Lonchura striata: one gene and its partner. The protein of the gene in region 1 binds, or shares a complex with, the protein of each later gene. Links are inferred from orthologs where the notes say so. Each region holds a gene or a part of one and is shown in the gene's direction. Other genes may lie near its edges.

Evidence for each region. The genes of interacting proteins can lie anywhere in the genome.
Region 2: the proteins of MYBL2 (region 1) and LIN9 are in contact, whole or in part, in a crystal structure (PDB 6C48), measured with the Homo sapiens proteins. The link is inferred for Lonchura striata from reciprocal best matches to the Homo sapiens genes MYBL2 and LIN9. Residues at the interface, in NP_002457.1 of Homo sapiens: Trp663, Ala667, Cys668, Gly669, Gln674, Met677, Gln678, Ala681, Arg682, Leu684, Leu685, Arg687; in NP_001353174.1 of Homo sapiens: Lys356, Gln385, Arg386, Tyr388, Ala389, Thr390, Val392, Leu393, Leu395, Glu396, Asn399, Leu402, Asn403, Leu406.

Annotation. Positions count from the first base shown.
Region 1 is NC_134619.1:11,069,577-11,077,527, forward strand, and holds the start of MYBL2 (myb-related protein B), read left to right. Parts: upstream 1-4,941; 5' UTR 4,942-5,048; intron 5,049-5,461; coding exon of another isoform or gene 5,462-6,211; intron 6,212-7,951. Other genes in the region: IFT52 (intraflagellar transport protein 52 homolog), read left to right, coding at 1-11, 1,157-1,265, 1,756-1,901, 2,477-2,524; uncharacterized protein LOC144247204, read right to left, coding at 5,462-6,211. UniProt on the Homo sapiens protein: Transcription factor involved in the regulation of cell survival, proliferation, and differentiation. Transactivates the expression of the CLU gene.
Region 2 is NC_134605.1:17,660,005-17,668,020, reverse strand, and holds the start of LIN9 (protein lin-9 homolog), read left to right. Parts: upstream 1-4,977; coding exon 4,978-5,056; intron 5,057-8,016. UniProt on the Homo sapiens protein: Acts as a tumor suppressor. Inhibits DNA synthesis. Its ability to inhibit oncogenic transformation is mediated through its association with RB1. Plays a role in the expression of genes required for the G1/S transition.

The DNA of each region.
Region 1 (7,951 bases):
TCCAGCCAGCTGTGAGTAATTTTCTTGCTTGTACAGTACAGGGAGAACCCTTATCCACAAAGGCTGGACTTGGTAACCTTGGATGTATATTCCAACCTTAATGAGTCTCTATTTCATTTGTTTCATGCCAAACCTCTGTGTGTCATTTCCATGGTTCTGTAAAAGAAGCAGTGAGAAATGCTGTAGTAATAACTAATCACTTGGGAGTTGACTACACTTTAGGGACCGTCTTTTAGGAAAGAGCACTAATTTACATTTCAAATTTATTAAAAGAACTTCACACTGTAGTGTGTGGTACCAAAACAGAATCCTTGTGTGGTGAACCTTTGATTGAGTGGCTGCTCCCAGTCCTGTGAGGTGCTGGCTCAGCCTTCCCAATGAAAACAGGATGTGCTATTTCAGAAAGCTGTGGTGGTGAAGGTACTGCACTGCTTGTGCCAGGGAGGAGCCAGTCTGTCCTGCTCTGCCTCCATCTCCCAGATCCTCAGGGGAAGCAGAAAGCAGAACATTGGTCTTTTACATCAGAAGCTGATCAAACTTTAACCAGCAATGTTTGGGCAGACAGCAACAACACAAACTATGAGGGTGTCAAACTCATTTCAGAAGGCAAGAATCTTGGTATCTGAGTTTTGCCATCATTGTTCCATCCTTCTTTACCCTGGCCACTGAGAAAGCATTTCTGATATCCTTTAGAGCTTCAGGAGTGCAACTGAAAGTGGTGTCTCCTTCACTGCTTTTTAAAAACCCAAGTCCAGCTTGTGACATAAATGGTGCCTGCATGAAACAGAAAATACTCTGACCAAAATTGATGTCAGTATGTTTTCAGGGTGAGCTATTAGGGCCAATTTAGTTCCTCAGCTCTCAGCTATCACCTGGGTCTCATGGAGCAAAACTGAAACTGCAAATAAGAATGTCTAGTTGTTATGCTGGGTGATAATTCTGGCATACATGTGACTAAATTCTTTTGGAATGTTCAGTTATTTTTACAGCATAAAAATGGAATTTTCAAATGCTGCCCCTTGGTTCAGTGGCTTTGGAGTTGCTTTTGACTTTTTAAAAGGGCTTCTTCAAGTCCAATATAAGTTCAAAACTGTTGTCTTAGAGATCTGTAAAGAAAAATGTGTGGCAGTCAACCATGCTGCGTTTTCTTTCCAAGGTCTTTCCACCTGCTTTCAAAGAATTGCCTCCTCCTGCTCTGGAACTGTTTGACTTGGATGAAACTTTTTCCTCAGAGAAAGCACGTCTTGCAGAGATTACAAACAAATGTAAGTGGAGAAGATTGTTTGCACGTTTAAAATAAAAGTCCAGTTTTTTTAGAGGAAATTTCTAATATTGAATGTTAAAGCATGCACCTCATTTGGGAAATCTACTGCTCTTATCCTGATCTAAGAAATTGAAAGGCTTTGGAAATTAATAGCATGACTTTATGTACCATGACATTATGTTTTGTCTGTTGCATGACATTTTATCGTGTTTCTTCCCGTTTCCTATATTGTGCATTGCTTTGTGCACTCTTGCTGATAAATTTCACATCTTGTTTATGCTTTTAAGTTAAAATGTTAAGATTATTATAAACACCTAAAGAAGATGAGCAGGTACTGGCTGCAGGAATACGTTATGGCTAGTCCACTGAGCTTAGTGATGGGACTGAGCCTCCCAGGATGCCAGCAGCAAAAGGAGATTCAGAGCAGGTTTCTGGCCAGCTGCTCCAGATGTGTGAGACTCACCTGCCTTCTTCCCTGGGTGCTTGTTTAGGCACTGATGATGACCTGGAGTTCTACGTGCGGAAATGTGGTGATATCCTGGGAGTGACCAGTGAACTCCCAAAGGACAGGCAAGATGCCAAATATATCCTGGAGCACATCTTCTTCCAAGTGGTTGAGTTTAAGAAACTGAATCAGGTATTTTTAATAGCAATTACAAGTGAGTAGTTGGTAGTAGCAGCAGTAAGGGTGGTGTATCATTGTAGCAGTTACAGTTGTCACAGGCAAGAGGTGATGTGAGACATTAGCTGTGCTATAAATGAGACCAGTCAAGTGTGATCCAGAGTACTTATGACTCTTAATCTCCATAAAATGTGTACTGCTCAATTTATTAAGTCTCTCATTTATTTTAATTGGGGAATTAGTACATGCAAGTGTAGTTTGTAATTGCAGCTAAATCTGGTTCATTAGTGGTGCCTGAGTGAGAGCAGGGAGCCCTCAGGAGTGTTCACTGCTCTGGCCAGTGCTGCTGTGCAGAGGTGACCAGCATTGTTCTTCAGGAGCTGCACTGAAATGCAGCTGTGCTGAAAGAATTCTTCATAGCAAATTTAACGTTTCAAAGTGTGTTTGGAGCATATTGGCAGAGCAACAGTTTGTGCTAACAAGAATTGTCTGTTTCACATAATCTAGTTAAGCCAAAAATCTTACAGTTCTACCCTGTTGTTAAAACTCTTTTTTCTTCCTTTTTTTTCCTTCCTCTTCCCTTACTTAAGGAACACGATACTGACCAAAGTGAAGCTGGATTCCAGAACAGTACCTGAGAGCTGGCTTTCCCCAGTTTGAGATAGACCTTTTAGGGAAAGTATATTTTTCCATTTTTAAAGTCTCTCTTCTCAGTGTATTGATTGGGACTGTCTCAGTAGTTCACTGGATGCTTGGATCATTTATGTGTAGTAGTTCAGATAATTAATGCCTTCTGGGGAACTGCTTGTATTTCACAAGCACTTTCCAAAGAATTTCTTATTTTTCTACTTCTTTATTGAAACTGTAATTTTTTAATATATTAAAAAAATAATATACCAAGAAAATGTGTTTTGGGTCCTTTCTGGCTCCAGCATTTATTTTCTTGTAGTTAAGTCTGCCTTACCTGTTGGTTCTCCTGTTGTACATGAAATCCTTAATTGCACTGTGAGAAGGGTTGTTATTTTGGTTTGTTAACTTAGGACAAAAAAATAGAGCCATAATTTTAGCAGGAGCTGCTGAAAATACATGTATCACCCTGAGGCAGCCTCATTTTGTCTCTCTGCCAAAGAGAACTAAGGAGAGGTGAGTTTGTTACTGTAGAAAGAAAACATTTCTTCCAAGGGAGGGGCAGATTTGAAATTAAGCAATAATGACATTGTTGCAGATTGCTGCCTCATATCAGACTGGAATTACAGAATTTTAAAAAGAGAGGACAGCACATGGATGCAAACCTTAAGATTGAGTGGATCATTATTAAGACACTGATACTGCACAGAAATTAATGGATATTTTTACTTCCATTTATTTGATATCTAGTCCACTCCCTGAGGTAGTGAGTTCAGTAATACGCAGGAGTGGAAATCCAGGTTAAATTAATTTTCCGTGAAATGTTGAAGCTCAATGCACAGCAAAAATAGAGCCAAGGAGATCAGTGGTGAGAAGAAAAGATTTTTGTCAACATCATCACCACCACACCTCTATTGCAAGGACTTGTTTTTATGTTAATGTGGTGAAATTGCATTATAAAGCCTTTTTTGGCTGTCAGACTGACACTCAGATTGTTAAATTCTTCCCCCACTCAGGACTTCAATGACTTCTGTGTTTTACCTTGCTCTGCCATGGTTTTTAAAATCAGAACTGCTTTTTGCAAAAAAACCTGTTCATCTTTTTATCCCTCCAAAATACCTTTTTGTTTTACATTTCATGCTTCACATAGCATTTTGGCACAGGTTTTTCTAAAGGAGGTGCCCCAAAGCCCCTGCCAAGTTCCTGCCCAGTTGAGATGTGCTAATGTTAGCAGAAGTGGTTGTATCTCTTTCTCCACTGCAGCCGTTCCCTTTCACAGCAGCATGTTGGAAATTTTTCATTTCTTCTTCTGTTTTCCTTTAAGGCCGTGGTTGTGTTTGTCACCCAGAGCACTTTGTACATTCCAGCTCCAGATTTACACAACAACCTTAATCTCTTCTCCTGTGCAGTAGCAATAGCAATCAGTCAGCCAGCACAGGGTGCAGCTGAACCAACCCCCTGAGTGCTCCTGTTGCTAATTATAGCTCCAGTTTGTACTCTTCTGGGGTGTTTATACTTCAAACTGTAAATAACTTTCTGTTTCCAAGTTGTTTTGTCACCTGTTTCTGATGTAACATGGTTTAAAAAAAGCCATGTGAGCAGCCCGGGGATACAAGCAGCTCCCTGTTTTCTGGGTGTCTCTCAGGCCTCTGACAGCTGAAGAACACATTTTTTTACTGAATGGATGTTTTTCTTACTAGTGTGGAATACATGTAGCTCACATCTCTCTTTCAAAGCTGTCCCTTTGGCCCTCTGGAAGTATTTAAACTGACTTTGTTACTAGAAACACTTTAGTCATGAGAGTATGATGCATATAAATTTTATGGCTGACTGACAGAATTTCCAAGGAGTAGAAGTAGGTGAGTGCTTTCAAGAGGTGAGGTGAGGCCAGGGGGAACACGTTGGGCAGGTAGCTAGTGAGGGAGTTAATATATAAATCAAATTTCTGCTGTGATTTTCAAAAGTTGGTTTCAAGCAGCTCTTGCTGCTTTCCCTTTTTTTCTCTGTCCTCTCATGCAACATGACTCATTATCCCCTAATATGCCCCTAAAAGAAGAGGGGAACAGTACACTGGTTATAGAGCAAATGTCCTGAAAAGCTGTTTTAACAAGTTCTTCCTCCCTTTCTTTGCTGTAAGCAGAGACAGGAGAGGAAAATCAGGATTGCATATGGGTGGGGTGCGATCTAGCAGGAGAGCGTGAAAAATCTAATGGGGTGGGTGCGATGGCCTAGGCTCCTTTCCTTGCCTCGGAGCAGGGTTTGGATGTGACAGAGGAAATGGTCCCTGCGCGGTGGCGGCTTGCCGCGGCCAGGACGAGCAGCGGCACCCCGCATGAGGCAGGCGGGCTGTGCCCGGGGCGCTCCCCGCTGCCGGGCTGTGCTTTCCCGGCGCGCCAGGAGAGGGATCCGCGGCCCCGGGCGCGCCTCCGCCCGCGCTCCCGGCGGGCAGCGCCGGCCCCGCAGCCATGGCCCCGCGGCTGCGGCCGCGTCCCGCTGCCCCTTCTCCGCCGGGACCCGCCCCGACCCCTCGGCCAGGTAACGGGGGCGGGCGGGCGGGGGTCCGGGCACCCCCAGCTCGGAGGGGGCTGCACGGAGGCCGGCTCTGGGCGTTCAGGGGGCTCAGCTTCAGGCCGGGAGGGCAGCGAGAGTCAGGGACCACCAGCAGAGAGACATTTATATCTTTATTGTGCTAATACAAAAGAGCGATCGGGGAGGAGGAGGAGCCAGCAATGCTGCGGCTCTCGGAGGTGCCATCACCAGCTCAAACATCCCCCACCACCAGTGCCGACTCGGCCACCCCAGGTGAGCAGATTTAGCTCGTCACCAGCTGCTGCCATCACCACTCAAGCCGCTGGCTCCATCTTCTGTGCTGCAGCGTGGATCCCTGCTCCTCGCAGGAGGGGAGGGGGCAGGCACCAGCAGCTCCAGCTGGAGGCAGGGCAGCAGCATCACAGAGCCTGCTGCAGAAACACAGGGACAGCGTCAGGGTCACTCAGCTGGGTCTCCTGGGTGGCAGACCTGTGGATCAGTGTGGGGTGCTTCTTGAAGGCACTGGGCCAAGCCAGAGGAATCACCACAGGGGTCTCCAGGGATGATGTGTCTGGTTTGGAGCATCCCAGTAAACGTAACTCCTCTGTGCTGACATCGAGGGATGTACTGGTATCCATAAAGGATTTTATTGCCGAGATGTCCCACCTGGGTGCTGGCACTTTCCCAAGGGCTGAGATGTCACCAGCCAGCTCAGAGCTCTTGAAGAGAAGGCTCTCCAGGGGTTTGAAGTGCTTGTCTTTATTGCAAGGTGTCGAAGTATTCTGTGATCCCACATTCATCAGGCAGCTATCTCTGCTAGGGTGCTCACAGGGCAAACCAGACAGCTCACAGGTGGCCTGGCCATGGTGGGCCTTGCAGAAGCAGACAAGACTGAGGTCAGAGATGCCCTGGGTCAAGCTGTGCAGCTCCGGCTTCACACAGCTGGTCAGAGACTCTGCCTGCTTGACAACACACAGGGAACTGCCACTTGCTGTGCTGTCCAAGTCCATGGGAAGCTCCCAGGTTTCATGTTTGGAAGCACTGCTAGAGTCCTTGTAATAGCTCACAACAGGAGAATAGCTCTGGCTGGAGGAGCTGGCCAAGAACCCGTTTTCCAGGATTTCCTTTCTGGTCACAATGCTGGTGCTGTGCTTCTGGGTGGACAGCATGGTGCAGAATCCAGCAGCTCTCTGGCTTAGAGAGATAAGGATGAGCCTGTCAGGATAAACCTGTTACTATTCACTAATGGTTTACAGACTTACAGTAGCAGGACCACTCTTGGCAAAATCCCATCTCACTGTTGCAGGACCTTGAGCAGGTTTCAGGACATGCAGGGGCATCCAGCCTGGCTCTCTCTTTTAGAGTAAAACAACTCCACTACAGCCTGTTAGTAGCTCAGAGGTCATAGCAGAATCTCCCTGAAGCTGTATTTATTTGACCTCAGCCTGTATTATCACTAGTCTTAACTTTGTACAGGGGATAGAAGCATTTTAGCCTCACTCCTGCAGTCAGAGGACCACTCACCCCAGCTAGAATTGAATCCCTCTGAGGAGGCACCAAAACCAGGCTCTGGCTAGGATGGGAAAAGTTGAAGGGCAGGTCTCATCTTACTTTTAGTGCTGTACACAATAACTCTCACCTCCAGCTCAGCCAGGAGCTGACTTCCAGATCTTTCCTGAGAGACTAGGGCAGGCCAGGGAAGGGGATAGCTATATTCCCAACCCAGCTTTACTCTGAATACATGCTAAACAGTCATAAATAGCGTCTGAATTTACTGCAAAGGGACTGTATGGTCAATCTAGAAGGAAAGTATTATTTAAGAGACTAAAACCATCTTATCTTAGCATATAAGAAATGAAAGAATAAGAAAACAATAAATAGTACCTTCAGCTCCTGTGAAGACCCTTTGAGGTTCCCAAGCCTTTTCTGCCAGTGTTACTTAGAGCAGTTTTATAGTTCTGGTAATCAATTAACAGGCTGATTTCCTAATTAAGCTAGTTTGGGAGAGGGAGGGGCTTCTGTTTGCCTCTTTTTAAGCACAGGGGTAGTGAAGGTGGGCCATGGCTGACTGATGGAGGTACTCTGAGATCTGTGAGGGATGGGTTATATTTGTCCTGTCAAAGAACCTTAATAAGGCTTTACTTTCTTTTAAGTGTTGCCTTGTGTTTTGTGAGCTGTTGATTAGGAATATCCACAAGTACAGACTTTTCATTGATGAAATAGACAGTACGTGTTGGAATATTTGAGTAATGCTCTCAGGCACAGGGTTGAACTGTTGTAGCTGTCCTGGACAGGGCCATAAGTTGGACTTTGATGATCTTTGGGGGTCCCTTCCAGCCTGGAATATTCTGTGATTCTTTAAGGTGTGATGTTCCTGCCCTGTGCCTGAGGCTGCTACATTTGGGAGGCTCAGGTTAGTGTGAGAGGGCCTGAGGGTAGAAATGGGGGTCCAAGGTTGGGGGGTGTGAATGGAGGGTATCCTGGGCTGGTGTGGGGGGGAAGGGGTCCCAGTGGTTTCAGGTGGATGAAGGGGTCCCGGGAGTCCTGAGTCCATGGGGACGTGGAGGTGCTGAGGATAGAAATGAGTAAACATGGGTCAGTGTAGGGCAGGGTGAGGGAGAGTCCTGGGTCAGTGTGGGGGATCCCCATGCTTTGGGGTTGGTACAGGGGTGGATGCAGAGGGATCTTGGGGTCGGTGCTGGGCCGGATGGGGAGGGTCGTGGGGGGCCCAGGTCGGTGTGTGGGTGGATGAGGAGGTTCCTGGTGGGAGCTTGCATCAATGCGGGGCTGGATGCGGTGGGACTTGGATCAGTGCAGGGTCGGTGCAGAGGTGGATGTGCGGGGTCCTGGATCGGGTGCTGTGTTAGATGTGGGGAGTCTCGGCAGTCCCAGTTCGGTGCAGAGGTCCT
Region 2 (8,016 bases), on another chromosome or scaffold:
CACTTAAGTATGATGTTGTCAGTCTCTGAAAGAGAACATGAGAACTTGTTTAGTTAGAAGATAGATGATTTTTCACCCTCTAAATAAGCAGTTTACAGTTCAGTTTGGGACCAGGAGTTGAAGGCAGCTGCTCTCTCTGTCACCCATACTAGAGATAGCTGAAAGTTCCCTGTTGTTCCAACCCAAGCAGCACAAGGAGTACTTCGTGCTGTGTATATAGTGCTCAGTTGTAATTGCAGCACAAGCAAGTGCATCACAAACTGTCCCTAACCTCACAAATACAGCAGGAAGAGTACAGGACTTTCTAAAGAGGTAGCAGGTACCCTTTGGGGACTGTAGGAGAGCCCTGTCACTGTCCTGCAGTGAAATCTGATGTCAGCCCAAGTGCTGCTTGTGCTGCCAGCTGTCCGAGCAGAGCGGATCCACTCTCCTGGAGGTGGATGAGAGGCCTCTCCCCGGGGCCAGGCTGGGAGGAGCAGCATGTGCCACTCACTGAAAGCATTGCTTTGGCAGTGCGAGCACAGAGCAGAGCTGCGTGAATAGGCAGCCCCATTTCTGTCAAAAGCACTTGAAAGGAACGACTTTTCAAGACATTAGGTCCCATGACATCCTGTGCTTTTTTCAGGGGAAACATGTTGAGGAATGGCTTCTCATCTAAATGTTAAACTACCAAAAGCAGTAATTTATAAATATTTAACTGTGTTGTCTTTATTTGGCATTGTGGCAGGCTCTGTTGTACAACGGCTCACAGACATTAAGATAGTCTATGCAGTTAATTGAAGGAAGCCAGCCTAGGCTTACTGATTAGCAGTCAGTGTAAATTCTTTGTGACTTGCCCGAGTTCATGCAGGGAAAAAATACCTGAGAAAAAAAAATTAAAGCACAAGTTGCCCATCCTGGTATTTTTGCCATAAAACAATGACATTCTGCCCCTGCCCTTCTTCAGTTTCTAATCAGCAGAAAGTGCAGGGGGAAACTTCCAAACAAATAATTTCTATATGAAAAAGACCTCTGGGCACGTGAAACTTGTCAATGCCATAAATAATTGTACTCCTGTTCTTAAATGAGGCCTGCAGTGTTTGTAATGACTGAGGTCTCTGCTTCAGCTTGTTTTCAGGGGGATGGTTACAGACCTCACTGTGAATTCTGGGGACATAATGATGTAATTGTCTGCTGAAGTGCTATTGCAGCCAATTTATAGCCCACTTAGTGTTTTGCCTGAATTGCTTTTATGTATGTGTTGAGGCCCCTGATTTATTCCATTATACTTATGCTCCTGTTATGCCCATAAAAATAGTTGCCACTGTTGTGGAGTACATGCATCTGAACAAGAGTTTGTGTGTGCTTTCACTTTAAAATTAATGCCAGGCTCTTCTCCAGAAATGGTCATTTTGGAGATGAAGTGGCACCTGTGAGAAGAAAATGCAGGTGCAGGTCCCAGCCAAGATGAGTTGCTGTGATGATTTTAATTTGTTCTGGTGTGAAGGTAGCATGTGGGTCTGTTGTGGGCATTTCAGATCACTTCCACAGAAGTGAGATACACAGGGACAGGCAAGATGAGAAGAATGACTTCCTAACAACTCAAAGGAGAAACTACTGCTTCAAAGGGAAAACTACTACACCCTCTCATTAGAGTCTAATTTCATAATGTAATTAATGCAGCAGGACTCAAAACTTCACAAGAAGATGCTTCAGTGACTAAAGAGCACTCTCTTCTGCCAGCTGTCCTTGCTTTTTTTCCTACTGCCAGGGCCTGCCTAGGGGAGATGAGAAAATGGCAGCATAGCTGTCCCCTGGATGCAGCACTACCTGCTCTGTACTGACAGGACTCTGAATGCATTGGTCAGTAGGTGCTGTAACCCATGTCTTACTATCATCTGTAGCAACTGAGGAGTAATGGGAGTGTGGCAGTGCTCTCTGCAGCATTTCAGCACACACCATTAGGAGCAGTTGCCTAATGTGACCCTGGCAAGAGCGAATGGCAGCAGTGCAGCCATTTAGAGACCTCCCTGCAGCTGTGCCACGCAGGTGAGTCAGCAGCACCTAAGGCAGATTGTTGGCAGAGAGCACAGATGTTTTCAGTCACCCTGCCTGTCAGAAGAGTTGTGTCATTTCCACGTCACCCAAGTGCAAACTGCATGTTTGCCAGAATGGTAAAAGGATGCACTGAAAATGTGTGTTGGTGTGCACACTGACCAATGGCCCTGGCTGGGGCTTTGTAAATGGGGTCGCATCTATGTGACTTGGAAACGGCAAACACAGGAGACACGAAAAACCAGAACACAGAGATACAGCATCCAATAAAGGCCAAGATGTAAAAGGTTATTTATCCAGGAATAAAAATACAGTGTTGATTGTTACCCTTTCAAAATAGTGAATGGTAATGGTTTCTGTTAAATATTTTCCAAGTGCAGCTGTTGGAATGAAATGAAGGAATAATCATCATTGTGCTGTTGGGAGCGGAAGTCTATCTTCACACCTGTTAATTTGTGAAATGATTGGCAGGAGATGTTTGGTGAGAGGGAAAAATCTCACCTTTTTCATCTGGTTTTGTTGCAGTCTACAAAGACTCCCTGAAAGACACTGAGCTTGATTCCTTTTTCATTTTCCCCTTGTAGAAATTCATACTCTTGAGGACTGTTGCAAAATGTGATTGTGTTGTAAAATACTTTTCACCCCTCCCAAGCAAAGCCCTTGCTCAGGGAAAGCTCCAGCATTGGGATGGCTCTGGGCAACGCTGGCAGCCACACCTGATGACAAGGTTCACAAAGCACAGCAGTAAAAACCTTGCTGATGATCAGTGTCTCTGTCAGCTGTGGAAGTCTCAGTGTCGCCAGTCTGAGCTGAGCATTACCATACAGCCCTTGGAACAAGGGGAGCACAGCTGAAGTACAGAGAAATATTGGTGTCATTAACATGTTGTTTAACTGAGCCTGGAAGGTTTGGTCCATGTCAGGCGTTCTGGGTGGTGGAACTGTTTTATTAAAAGGGGAAAATTGTGCAGAATTTAATGCTTGGGGGAGTTGGTGTTTGATGTAGCACAGATTACTATTTAGTCATGTTTTGTTACTAGTTTCTTTAGTGTTGTTCTTTTCAAGTGTCTACGGTAGCAGCTTTCTTTGGAGCTGTACAGTATGGAAAGCTCCAAGTGAGGTGTCTTAGACCCTTTGGGGGCTAAGGGGAGGGAAAGCTGTTTAAACAACCTTTCAAAATGATCTGAAAAAGGGGCTGGAAATGCAAGCTAGGCTTTGTAATTTTTTTCCTCTTTTTTTTTTTCTTTTTTTAGCTCTGCTACAATGTGCATAGAAAGCCCTGGGGGGAATTTCTAAAGCATTTCACTCAGTTTGTTTCTTCACTTAAAAACTGGCTTTTTCCCCCTTGAGCACAAGGGCAACATTGATTTTATTTATTTATGTGTTAAAATTGTTTAATAACATGACCTATATCCTGCCCCTGTCAACCTGCTAGAGTGCCTAGTCATCTGAGTTCATTAGCAAATTAAGAACACAAACTCTATTCCATGTCACAAGATAGACATTTTCTGTATTGTGTAGAATCTTTGGTTTCACCTAGGTGCTTTCAAAGACCTGCATACAATGAGGCATAGCATCCATTTTGTATTATACCACTGTGCTCTTGGCAATATGTTTAACATGTGACACAGATTTAGCCTTTACTAAGATATACTGTTTATTTATTTTGAGGCTCAATTTGCATTTTTACATTTATTTTTATACCTTAAAAAAAGGAATTTTGGTTGGTATAATAGTGTTATCAAAGCCAAACTATGTGGAGAGTGTGGTCCATGAGCAATTAAGGTGCTTGTGGTTCATGATGGTATTTCCATGCTTATATTTATTGATACTTTAGAATTCACTGTAGTGCAGAGATCTGAGAAAACTACACCAAAAAAACCCACTGCTGCTGCTTGAAGAAAGCTTTCAGGGGTGTGATGGTAGAGGGCAGGCCAAGACAAGGAGCTTGTTAGGCAACAGCCACCCACTTCTGTGGTTTGTTGGCTTTCCCTGGCACCGGGTGAGAACAAGTGAGACCTTGACCTTCAGGCCTTGGGCTCGGTGAGCATTTCAGCCGCCTCTTGGGCGAGGTGCCACAGGCTGTGACAGCAGGGCCAGGGCTGGCTGGGCCGGGATTGTTGTGATCCCGGACTCCTGGAGCCTCACCTCAGCAGTCACTTATGAAAAGCAACAAGGAAAACTGGCAGAGTTTAGCAAAAAGTTATTACTCAGTGAAGGAGGATGGGTATAATGTAATGGGATTGTTTAAAGACTCAAAGCTAGCACAGCTACTTCGGGGTGATCCTTTGTGACAGCCAACACCTCCACCCCTTTCCTCCCATCCTGAACTGCCAATCACACATTCCCCCCCATCCCGCATCGTAAGAATCGACAGGGAACTGCTGCAGCAAATTTAGAGAAGCATGGTGGTGATAAGAGGACTGGAGCACCTACCCTATGACAACAGGATGAGAAAGCTGGGGCTCTTCAGGCGTGGAGAAGTTTGTGTGAAGACCTCATGGCGACCTTCCAGTATCTGAAGGAAGCCAGACAGGGACTGTCAGGAGCTGCAGTAGCGACAGGACCATGAGTAATGGGTACCAACTGAAAGAGGGGAAAATTAGGTATTAGGAAAAAAGTCTTTCCAGTGAGGTACTGGAACAGGTTACCCAGAGCAGCTCTGGCTAGCCCAGCCCTGGAGGCGTTCAAAGCCAGTTCGGATGGGGCTCTGAGCAACCTGGTCTAGTGGGAGCCGGTGGCAGGGAGCTGGAACTCGACTGGAAGTAGTGTGAGGTCCGCTCCGAGTCCTTAGCGGGCCCCGGGCCGGCGGCGCTCCCTCCCGCGCTGCCGAGCCGCGGCTGCCGGGAGCGGCGCGCGGGCCCCGCCGCCCGGCCCCGCGCGGGCGCAGGCCCCGCCCCGCGCGCGCGCCCGCCGCGCGCCCGGCCCCGTCTCCTCCCCCAGAATGCCCCGCGCCAGGCAGCCTTTGAAAAAGCGGCGCGGCTCGTTCAAGATGGCGGAGCTGGATCAGCTGCCTGACGAGAGTGAGTAGGGACCGGCGCCCCCGCTCCCGCCGCCCCCTCGTCCCGGCGGGACACCCGCGCCGCGCCCCGCCGCCCGCCCGCCTCCCTTCTTCGCTCCCTCCCTCCCGCCGCGGGCGCTGTGCGGGGCCGGAGCCCGAGCCTCCTCCCTGGCAACCGGGCCGGGCCGGCCCCCCCCCCCCCGCCGCCGCCCCTCCCGGGCGCGGTCCCGGCCCGAGCGGCGGGCGGGGAGCTCCGTGCCGAGGGTGCGACCCCCGCTGCCCTCGGGGGTGCCGGGGCCGGGCCCCCGCCCCGCCCGGGCGGCACCTGCCGGGCAGGCGGGGCGGGAAGCGGGAGCCGGGCGGGGCGCAGTGACAGCCCGCCCTGCCCGCGGGGGTCGGGGCAGTGCGGGGGAAGCAGCGTCCTGTCCCGGGGGAGCGTGAGCTGCCCGGCGCTCCGGACCTGGCTGTCGCCCATGGGGGCAGGAAGGGCTCGTGTATTCGTAGCCCGTGCCGCGCACGGTGCGAGCAGCTCCGCAGGGCTGGGGGTCAGGGCGTGCACACACTGTGTCTAGGGGGCACTGGTGAATGCGCAGGGAACAGCTCAGAGACCTTGTGTTGTGTGTCAGCAGCAGGAACCTGGCTGTACAGGAAGACAGAATGTAAACATGTGTTTTCGTGCCTACAGTTCTGTATGTCTGCACCTCGAGTGCTGTGTCCAGCTCGGGGCCCCTCACTGCTAGAAGGACACGGAGGTGCTGGAGAGAGTCCAGAGAAGGGGAGTGGAGCCTGGGGAAGGGTCTGGAGCATGAGTCTGATGAGGAGCAGCTGAGAGAGCTGTGGGTGTTTAGCCTGGAGAACAGGAGGCTCAGGAGTGACCTTACCACACTCTACAGTTCCTGAAAGGAGAGTGTAGCTGGATGGGGATTGGCCTCTTGTCCCAGGCAACAAACGAGAGGGCATAATCTCAAGCTTCAGCAGAGGAAGTTTAGATTGAACATTAGGAGGAATTTCTTCAGTGAAAGGGTGATTGGACATTGGAATGGGCTGCCCAGGGAGGTGGTGGAGTCACTGTCCCTGGAGGTGTTTAAGGAAAGACTGGATGTGGCATTTTGTGCAGTGGTATAGTTGACATGATGGTGTTTGGTTAAAAGCTGGACTCCATGGTCTCAGAGGTCTTTTTTAACCTCATTGATTCTGTGATCTCCATAGGGTTTGTGTGGATGTTGTTTTCAAAGAGTGCAAGGATTTAATAAAAACATAGTGTAGCTAAAAACCAGATATATGTTGCTGTATGTGTGGATTCATGCACAAAGTACTTGAGTGTTACAGAAAAGGAAATTATTCCATATAAAATGCATCTAGATGACATCTCTTACAAACTGTGGACTGCCAAGCTAAAACTAGGGCATTTACTAGTTTCAATAGGTGTGCACAGAACAGGGCAGACATCTTCTGGTGACACCACACAAGTTCATCAAGCTACCAAGTCCTTCCACATCCAAAGATTCTCAGAGAGAAGTGACTCAGAGTGGAAATCTTGCTTCTGGCTGCTCCATGCGAGTCTTTGTTACAGCTCCAACAACTGTCAGGAAAAAAATTGGTTAATGTGCCCACATGGCCGGTGTCATTGTGTTAACTGAACAGATTTATGGAGGATCATCATAAATTATGGACAGAGCTGACATTCTCAACTTAGCGCAGCTCAGTCATGGATGCTGTGCTCCATTTAGAGACTGATTAATACAAGTCATGGGCCACTTGATACGACTGTAATTAATAATTAGCTGTGGTTTATTGCTTATTAAATGAACTTTCCCTGTTCACTAGAATGGGCAATGTTTAAGTTACCGTTCCTCCATTTGCCTTGCCCATTTTCCAGAGAAAGCATGATATGTTTCAAGAAGTCAGTGTAATGATGAAAAATAACTTTTTCTTCTCTGTCATTTTTATATTGCCTGCAGTGGCATCAGGAAGGTTTGACAGATCTGTCACTTCACCTGTAGCAGATACCATAGTAGAGTGTGTGACTCCGTTTCCCTTAGGATTGGGCGATGCTGGCAACCCTTGCCAGCTGTGTCAGTGTTACAGGCTCTGCTTGGCAGGTGAAGCAGACACTGTGTGGTTATTTGTAAAGGCAGTAAACTTCTGCTGTGCTGACTTTGACCTTAAGGTTTGTATTTACCTACATTTGGTGCAAGCTAGGGGTGTTTTCCATCAGACAGGGAGCTTCATGTTTTCTGTAGCACTGCTGAACTGCTGGAATTGTGAAAGTTTCAAGGAGTGGTTGCCTTGTGCTTCCATTCCTATGCTATCCAGTATTGGTGATCTGCATGTTTTCAAATCACACTAGTTACTGCCACACATAGTTCTTTCATTTCCAGTCCTATACTTAAAATGAAGATGTAAACTTAGTCCTGGCTAATTTAGCACTGACTTCATGCAGCTCTCAGTCTGCAGCATAATATATCAAGGATTATAACAGTAAGTATTGCAAAGTTGTTTTTGGAATATTCCTATGGTATAAAAAAAAGTTCCAAAAAAATTCTGAATAGTTCATTACTAAGAGCCTTTGAGATTTATGCATCACCCCTGTGAATTTTCTCCAAAATAGTTTATAGTAAAATAGTAGACCACTACTGAGCTTTCACATAAAAATAATTACCAGTAAACACAGCATACTTGATGACAAGAAAACTGACATTTTGCTGTATGGTAAGAACCACACAGTTTTACTTTCAGATTGGATGTCTGATGAAGTGGAGTTTGTCCCAGAGTATTCTAATAGCACCTTCTTGCCCTCTGGCAGGTTCTGTAATGCAGCTGGGCAGTGACTGTTCCATAACCCAGGAGTGAGATGAATGTAATGCACCCAGTTGTCTCTCATGATATGTACTTGTTTTATCTGCTAAAGTTACTATTCTGTTCTTCTCTAAAGCTGCTATTCTGTCCATATAAAACGGTGAGAGGCTTCATGCTGACAGC